Linked DNA regions of Sus scrofa. The protein of the gene in region 1 purifies or fractionates together with the protein of each later gene. This does not show direct contact. Links are inferred from orthologs where the notes say so. Each region holds a gene or a part of one and is shown on either strand. Other genes may lie near its edges. The genes, in order: APLF and LIG3.

What was found.
Region 2: the proteins of APLF (region 1) and LIG3 purify together in Homo sapiens (affinity purification with mass spectrometry; 3 studies listed by BioGRID and IntAct, counting the BioPlex papers as one, with this or other methods). This does not show direct contact. The link is inferred for Sus scrofa from reciprocal best matches to the Homo sapiens genes APLF and LIG3.

The regions. Positions count from the first base shown.
Region 1 is NC_010445.4:73,828,085-73,832,537, reverse strand, and holds the start of APLF (aprataxin and PNK-like factor), read left to right. Parts: upstream 1-1,392; 5' UTR 1,393-1,661; coding exon 1,662-1,757; intron 1,758-4,453. UniProt on the Homo sapiens protein: Histone chaperone involved in single-strand and double-strand DNA break repair.
Region 2 is NC_010454.4:40,202,160-40,206,513, reverse strand, and holds the start of LIG3 (DNA ligase 3), read left to right. Parts: upstream 1-1,436; 5' UTR 1,437-2,741; intron 2,742-4,354. Other genes in the region: CCT6B (T-complex protein 1 subunit zeta-2), read right to left, coding at 1,156-1,292. UniProt on the Homo sapiens protein: Isoform 3 functions as a heterodimer with DNA-repair protein XRCC1 in the nucleus and can correct defective DNA strand-break repair and sister chromatid exchange following treatment with ionizing radiation and alkylating agents.

The DNA.
Region 1 (4,453 bases):
TACATTTATTAAGCAACTATAAACAATAGCAGATGACTAAAGATGTAAAGTCCAGTTTCAGCTAGTTTAAGGTGCATGGTGACGGCTTCTGAAATCAGTTGAAAGCATGGAGCTATTTTTGCATATAAAGACAGTTCATATTTATTTAAAATCAGTTTATTCCACTTTGCACTTCCTCCTATTAATGAGGGGTGGTAGCCAGGAGTGGTTTCAGATACAGCTAAATACTTCTAGCTGAACTAAGGACAAATTCCCCTTTCTAGATGTGCGACTCACCTATTTGTTTCTGGACTTGCCAGGCCCACAGATGCTCCCATTCATTTGGCTGTTCATCATCCCAATTAGTTACAATGGTTAGAATTTCAGTGTTCGAGTTCAAGAGAGGACTTCCTCTTCAGAGTTTGGGGAAGTAAGAAAGCAAGCTGGTAAAAACAAGTTCATGAGTTAAGTTTTTGCCACACCACCCTCCTGCTCCGCAGCAATACAAACTGAAACCAAACTACCCTATTCTTGAAAAGAATCTCATATTAGGAGACAGTTCCTGTGCACTAACACGCACATTTGCTACTTCTCCCGGGAGCTCACTGGGGATAAAATGCGTTCTCCCGTTACAGTTATTCCAGAGGAGGCAGATGAACGTTTTTGAATTTAACAGACAGGGGTGCCTTGCTGAGATTCCTAAAATCCCACTAGGTATTTTCCTTCCTCCAAGTCCAGCTTTGGCTGAATACCTAGAAAACTATCTTCTTCTGCCCCTTTATGAACCAAATCGTGCTGAATTACCTTTCTAGTTAGGTGAGAGCTCACCCTCTTTCAGGTGTCACACGGACGGAGAGATCGGAAGGCCGCGCAGACACCCGGCTCTCAGCAGCCCTCACCCGAGGCGGACGCCGCAGGTCGGAAGGAATGACCCCACGTCCCATCTGAGCCACCCTACTGGCGTGCCCCGTGCAGATTGCTGATGCCATAGTCCACAGATCAAGGGGCAATGACAAGTAAACAACAATAACAACCGTCAGCACGAACTGTCACTGCCGCTCAGGCGGGACGAGCGCAGACTCTTCGAACACCGGGTCCTCGCCCCCTTGCACGCCCACCCGACGTCAGCCGGAAGGAAAGACCCTCCTACCTACAGGGTCGCAGCGAACTCTCCTTCAGCGATTTAAATCCTCCAGAATTCGAATCCTTCTCCAAGGTCTCTCAGGTCCCGCCCACTCTAGCCCCGCCTTGCTGACTCGGATTTCGCACAGGCTCAGAAAGGCGAGCGCATTGACTCTTGGTATTGGTAGTTTTCTCGGGGCCTCTCTGCTCGGCAAGCGAGGAGAAGGGAGGCGTCACGGACTACAAGGTCCGGTGTCCTTCGAGCGGGGTGGGCGGTGAGAAGGATGGGGTTGGGGGGGTTGACCGGGGGTTTTAAACAATAGTTTGGAGGCTGTGTGAAGGGGGAATCCCCGAGTGCGTCACTGGCTGGAAGGAGGGCCGGGACTCGGTACCCCGCGCCGGGGCCCCCGCTCCGCGCGGCCTGGACACACCCGGGCGCAGTTTTCACTCCCCCTCCCCCTGTGTTTTCGCGGGACCTGCGTAGGCCCCGCGCGTGTTCATGGAAGGCGGAAACGGCTGGGGGGACCCTCTCCTTCCAAAGGGGTCTAATCCTCGCCGCCATGTCCGGAGGCTTCGAGCTGCAGCCGCAGGACGGCGGTCCCCGGGTGGCCCTGGCGCCCGGGGAGACGGTGATAGGCCGCGGGCCGCTGTTGGGAGTAAGTGTGGCGGGGGCTTTGCTGGTCGGGACGGCCGCGAGGTCCTGGCCGGCTCCCGAGGCCCCTCTCCCGGACCTTCCCCGATTTGCTAGCACGCCGGCCAGGCCTGTCTGGATTTTAGAAGTTTGGGGGCAGCACTTTTTCAGTCAACTCGAAGCAACTTTCAGACTTTTCCTTCTGTTGCCTTTAAAAACACTGACTTGGGGTATCATCGTTGTCCTTTTACGCGGGGGTCTGCAAACTGGCCCTGGCTCCAAATCCAGCCTGTTTTTTTGTATGAGGGCATATACTGAGAATGGTTCTCAAATTTTCAAATGTAAAGTGTAAACAACCTGAATTAGTCTTTCGTGGAGAATAATTGCTCTAAGAGTTGAGAATATTGCCTCTTGGCTTGGTAGGCCACAGTATTTGCAGTAGTATCTGACCCTTTACGGGAAAAGTTTGCCAACCTCTGATCTTAGCTGTTCTAGAATAATTTCTTTTAAACTTTTGGCCCATTTGCCAAACTTTTATTGTATAGTCTTTTTCAGTAATATCGATGGCCCACCGTTCTGTGTATGTAGTGTTCCAGGCATTGATCTAAGAACTTCACTTGTATCAACTTTAATCTTTTCTAAACCCTTTGAGTTAGGTACTCTTATTATCTTCATTGTTCAAATAAGAAAGTTGAGCTATAGATTGGTTATTTAAAGGGCACACTTAAGCTTTTGGACACCGAGTGCCGATAGGCTATGCATTCTTCCTCTGGGATGTTTAAGAGTTTGAAAACTTGCCAGTTACATTGCGGAATTTTGTAAATCTCTCCCTCAATACGTATATATTTTTTCTTAACATTCAGCATGTCTGGTTTAGTGCCCACTTTGTGCCGCACACTGTGCAGATCCTAGCGCCCTGCGGTGCACAGAGATGAATGAGCCAGGCATCCTTGCCTCTAGTTTTCTTTTGAACTGTCCAGACCGACCTGTGTCAGTGAGCTAATACCAGGGAGTGAGGAATATGGACTGTTAACCCCAGTTAACCTCCAGTGTCTAAATGGAACCATTGGTATTGGCCTTAGGACCCTTCTCCGAGCAGGAAAGGGAGTGGTGGTTCAAGGTGGTGATGGGAAAGTCAGTTCTAAAGGGGTGTGAATGTATGAGTGTGTGTGTATATGTAGTAAGGTTATTAAGAAAGTTCAAGTTCATTTGCTTTTTTTTCTGGACAGGTATTTAAATGTTTAAATAATATTGTTACTTTTCTCCATAGGTTATTAACCTGTACAAATCTTTGAAGGAACTGCATAGTTAAGTTTCCTCCCTCCCTGCCTCCTTTCTTCTCTATCTCTACCCCTATTTTTCTTTCTCTCTCTCTCAATTAGAAATTTAACAGAGTAAGATACCCAGTTTCACCTGGTATCTTATGTCTAGTGACTAATGAGGTTTGATTTCCTTAACAAATTGTATTGTTTGCAAGAGTGCTGTGGATCAGCTTAAATGATATGAATTTTAAACCTCTTATTTTATAAAGCTGGCAACAGGTCACGGACCCCTTCATTATTTGTAGCTTGATCGTTGTGTAATAGGCTTGGTAATGTGAGATAAGCCTATTTGGTTTCTGCTTTTAAAAGTGCTAAGGAGTAGAAAGTCAATTTTTTGGTCAGGACTTTGCATTTTCTTTTTGAATGGTTATTTAGTGATGAGATTCCGTTGCCAAGTTTGGGGGGTGTTAGAAGTGGTTATAAATGATACTAGATGCTTTGAAGGAAAACTTTGAAAAACAAATCACCTTGTGGTTTTTAAGATTTTAGTGCTGACAGTCAGGTGTTTCTTCTCTACAGTGGTTTAAATTCCACATGAGGGTTGTTGTTTCAGATGGCAATTTCATTGAGTTTGTTTGTTTGTAGTGTAAGAGAGCAAAGGCTTATTTCTAAGTAAAAAAACTCAGGAAGGTCATTGTTAATTCATATCCATATGAATGGTTAATAATAATAAGGATGATTTTGAATTCTCTTAAATTAGCTAGCCATGTCTTTTGGAGGCAAGTTTCACAAACCTTCCTGGCCACACAAGCATAAAGGTTTCTAATTCCAATGTGTAAAACAATTTGACTGTGAGAATGTCTTCATGTTTTTAAAGTGTCAGAAAAACTCATATAAAGAATACGAGGGTATTCCCATCATGGCTCAGCGGTTAATGAACCTGACTAGGATGCAGGTTTGATCCCTGGCCTCGCTCAGTGGGTTAAGGATCTGGTGTTGCCATGAGCTGTGGTTTAGGTCGGAGACGTGGCTTAAATCTGGCGTTGCTGCAGCTGTGGCGTAGGATGGCAGCTGTAGCTCAGATTTGACCCCTAGCCTGGGAACTTCCATATGCTGCAAGTGCAGCCCTAGAAAGCAAAAAAAAAAAAAAAAAAAAAAAAAAAAAAGAATACTTGTAGGTAACAGAGCATAGTGAAGTTTCATTTTCTCATGCCCTTTGCCTTAGTGTGAATCATCAGTGAAACCAAGGTCTTTGTTTATGAAGTTGTAATTCTGCTTCATGATCACCAATTAAAAGGTTTTACAGCAGGATGAATCTCCAGGGAACTATCTAGGTGAAATCAGCCAATCCCAAAGGTTACATATTATATGATTTTATTTACATAATATTCTTGAGAAATCAAAAGTATAAAAATGGTAACAGATTAGTGGTTGCTAGGGGTTATAGAAGAATTGAGGG
Region 2 (4,354 bases), on another chromosome or scaffold:
ATCTCTGGCCTGGGAAGTTCCACATGCCACTGGGTGAGGCCAAAACAAAACAAAACAAACACCCCTACCATAATTTTCATGTTCTCCATCACCTTCAAGGTAAAATCCAAACTATTTAGCAATGATATAGTTTACCTTTCCCAGTCTGGATAATGTCTATTTTTCACTACCTCTTCTACCAAATGAGATCTTGTGGGAAAATCTTGTGGTTCCCTTAACATAACATGTTCAGTTTTGTTTCTGTTGGATCTACACCACTGGGCTTTCTTGTTCCTGAAGTTATTCTATCTAGAAGGCCTTTACTCCCTTCCCCAACCTGTGAACTCTTAACTCATCTTGCAGGACTCTGATGAAAAATCCTGTTATTTGAGAAGCTTTTCCTTTTCCCTTCTGCCATCAGTAATCAGTCCCTTCCCATATATATATTTAGCACATTCATCTCTACTAGAACTCCTTAAGATCAGAAACCGTGTCTTAAACATCTCATTCCCAGCATCCCAGTTAGAATAAATGCCCTCTTTCACCGCTAATTTTATTTTGCTCATTCCTCTGAAACTGTACCTCTCTCCTCTTACACCTTTTTTCCCTCACCAGTCACTTTCTCTCTCTTCTAAATACCGGTCCTAGGTAAACACAGGCTCAAAGGATGGCTATGATGAAGCGCTGGTACAGAGCGTACAACTTGCTCAAGGACTCACAGCCAAAATTGACAGAACTTGATCTTGCATAGCTAGAAGGGGAACTTGGATCCGAACCCAAGCCTGCCAGGCTCTAAAGCCCATGCCGTCTCCACTACAACACAATGCCAAACAAAATCCAAACTAAGGGCATAATAAAGAACAGGGGAGTTAGAGGGCCTATGTTTCATATGAGACACTAAATGAACTAACTTTCTAGTTGCATATGAACCTCAACAACAAGTTGGGGGGCAGGAAGGGGGTAGGTATGACAGCTTCACTAGAGGGCCCTTTCCTCGGGGAAAAGTTCTTCTCCGCCAGGCTAGACAGCTCAAGGCAGAAATGCCGAACGAGGGAAAACAGGCCCACAAGCGCGTGCACATCGCTCCAATCTCTTCGCGGAACGTCCAACGCAGAGCGCGTCGCGACACCCAACAAATCCCCAACGCCCTAACCGCCGCTCCAACCGCCGCCTCACATTTTCATGGTGCCCTTAGGGCCTAAGTTGGTCCGCAGCACATCCTGCAGCCCTCGGGCGGCGCATATATTGACAGCTAAAGCTGCCTGTGCCCGCGCCACCTCAGCTTTGGCGTTTACGGCCTTTATCGCGGCCATGGCCACCTGCAGCAGCGTACACGCCAACAAAAGCTGCCTCTGCCTCGAGTCTGAGGGAAACCCGTGCGCCACGGCCCACGCTCCGGAGCCTCAGCCAACCCGCGATCCAACAGGAAGTGACGTTATCAGGCATCGCCGGGACGGAAGCCAGAATCGCCTCGGGTCCGGCCGCGAAGATGGCGTCCTCCGCGTCTGCTCGGCCTTCGGCCGGGAAGCGAGTGGTGAATCAGGACGAATTGCGGAGGTTGATGAAAGAGAAGCAGCGTCTGAGCACCAACCGAAAACGGATAGAATCTCCATTCGCGAAGTACAACCGTTTGGGGCAGCTGAGTTGTGCCCTGTGTAACACCCCGGTTAAGAGCGAGCTCCTGTGGCAGACTCACGTCCTCGGAAAGCAGCACCGAGAGAAAGTGGCCGAGCTGAAAGGCGCGAAGGAGGCCACCCAGGGTCCGTCCGCCAAGAGGAAGGCACCAGATGCAGAGAGCCAAGATGCCAAAAGAGTGAAGGCCTCTCCGGTGCCTCAGGTACAGCCCTCCACTTCCGCCTTGCCCACCAACTTTGACAAAACCGGAAAGGAATCCACTAGAACGACCCTCAGTAAGTCTTCGGGACTCGGTTTACTCCCTGATTATGAAGATGAGGAAGAGGAGGAGGAGGAAGAGGGGCAGGGAGGAGGAGGAGAAGGGAAGAAAGGGGATGCCAGTAAGCAGCCGTCCAACGTACCGAGCAAGGAACACTCACTTCCCTCCTCGCGGGAGGCAAGTGGTAGTCGGCTGCCAAGCGGCTTTTCAGATACAAATCCTCCCAAGGCCCCTTTAATTCCTCATTCGGGGTCAATTGAGAAAGCAGAGATACATGAAAAAGTAGTGGAAAGGAGAGAAAACACTGCCGAAGCATTACCGGAAGGGTTTTTTGACGACCCTGAGATAGATGCGAGGGTACGAAAGGTTGACGCCCCAAAGGATCAGATGGACAAAGAGTGGGACGAATTTCAAAAAGCCATGAGACAGGTGAACACTATTTCCGAAGCCATAGTTGCTGAAGAGGATGAGGAGGGACGGTTGGACCGGCAGATTGGAGAGATCGATGAGCAGATAGAGTGCTACCGTCGGGTGGAAAAGCTGCGGAATCGCCAGGATGAAATAAAAAATAAGCTTAAAGAGGTGCTGACCATTAAAGAATTGCAGAAAAAGGAAGAGGAGAATGTTGACAGCGATGATGAGGGAGAGCTACAGGATTTATTGTCTCAGGATTGGCGGGTGAAAGGGGCTTTGTTATAGGATTTCACAGACGCAAGATTTCTACACCCTCTACGATTGTATAAAAAGTGCCGTCTCTCAATGTAACGTTTACTCCATGCCTAGAGATTTGGTGACCTAACTGGGTTGTTGAGATACAAGGAGCCTGTGAAGATACCGCTTTGGAAAACTGGTGTAAAATATTTTTGAGGTAAAAGTGTTTTTGAAGTTTTTAAAGTATTATATACTAAAACGCCCACTTTTTCACACACAGATCTAAAGTTTGAGTTGTAAAAGCTGTAAGCTGTAGATACTGTACATAGTTAAATATATATTTACTTAATTCTGCTTTGAAGTTTGTAAATTAATAGAAGTCAGACCAATGGACAAGCTTTTAGATGAAAACCAGGTGTGGCATCTGAGGTGGATATGGCTTTTTCTTTTCTGACTCCCTAAATCTAACTCAAGAGGGTTGGGGGGACTGTTTAAGAACACTATTCATAATACATGTTATTCAAGGCTAATCAGTTCTCCACATATTCCATTTCGAAACCATATTCCAGGAGAACATGGTGAAAGATACATGCCAAATATGACTAACCTCCTTAACCCAGAGTTTCTCTTTATTGAACCAGTGCTTTTCAGATGTAGGTACATGTGTAGATCTCATACAAAACTTTTTTTTAAAGTGCACGTGAGGGAGTTCCCTTGTGATGCAGTGGGTTAAGAATAGGGCAGATGTCACTGCATCAGCTCAGGTTACTGCTGTGGCGTGGCTTTGATCCCTGGTTCTGGGACTTCCACATGCCGCAGGCCTAGCCCCCTCAAAAAAGTGCACGGTGAATCACCTATGAAGCTTTTTAAAAAATTCATGTGCCCAAGCCCTACATTTGGAGAGATTGAGTAAATCTGGAGCAGGGCTGAGACATATGTATCAAATTGAAGGCCTCCCAGGTTATTCTAATAAGGCCAGAGTTGGCATGACATTGCTCTACATTCAGAACCCATTTATATATTTCTAGGCTTTGTTTTTTTCTTCAAGTGACAATTTCATAAGTTTACTATCTATTGCATAAAAGAAATGCCACCTTTTATTTGTATCCCATCTAGTCTTAAATTTTATGATTACATATTTTGGTAAATTAGCATTCAGAATTAACAGGTTTTATAAATTGTAGGAAGGTGGCATTAAGTTGTTTCTCTGGTAACACTTGTGCTGATCATTGATAATTGAAATCGCTTATGCTGATCATCGATCATGAAATTGAAATCACTCCTCCCTTTGGAGATAGAGGTATTCAAATAAGAAAAAGAAATGAGCAGTGTTCCAGGGATAGGCATGCATACAGCGCATTAGAATAAACGTGAGCAGGAGTTCTTGTCATTGTTTAGCTGGTTAAGAACCCGACTAGTATCTATGAGGATGCGAATCTGATCCCTGGCCTCAATCAATAGATTAAGGATCCAGTGTTGCCACAAATTGTGGTGTAGGTCACAAACGTGTGGCTGTGGTGTAGGCCAGCAGCTGCAGCTCCAATTCGACCCCTAGCCTGAGAACTAACATATGCTGAGGGTGCGGCCCTAAAAATACAAAAAAAAGAAAAAAGGAATAAAGAATGAGCAGTAGTAATAATAGCTAAGACTTTCTTACAGTATAAGCTAGATAGAGTTCTAAGTGCTTTACAACTCAGTCTAACTTCCCTAAAGCCCAGGTTTTAAGCCCAGGGATAAGGTCTGTAAAAGCCTTGAATGTTGAATGAAAGAATTCTCCATGTAGGCAGTGTGGGAAAAAAAATGGAAGTTTTTGAGCAAAAAAAACATTAT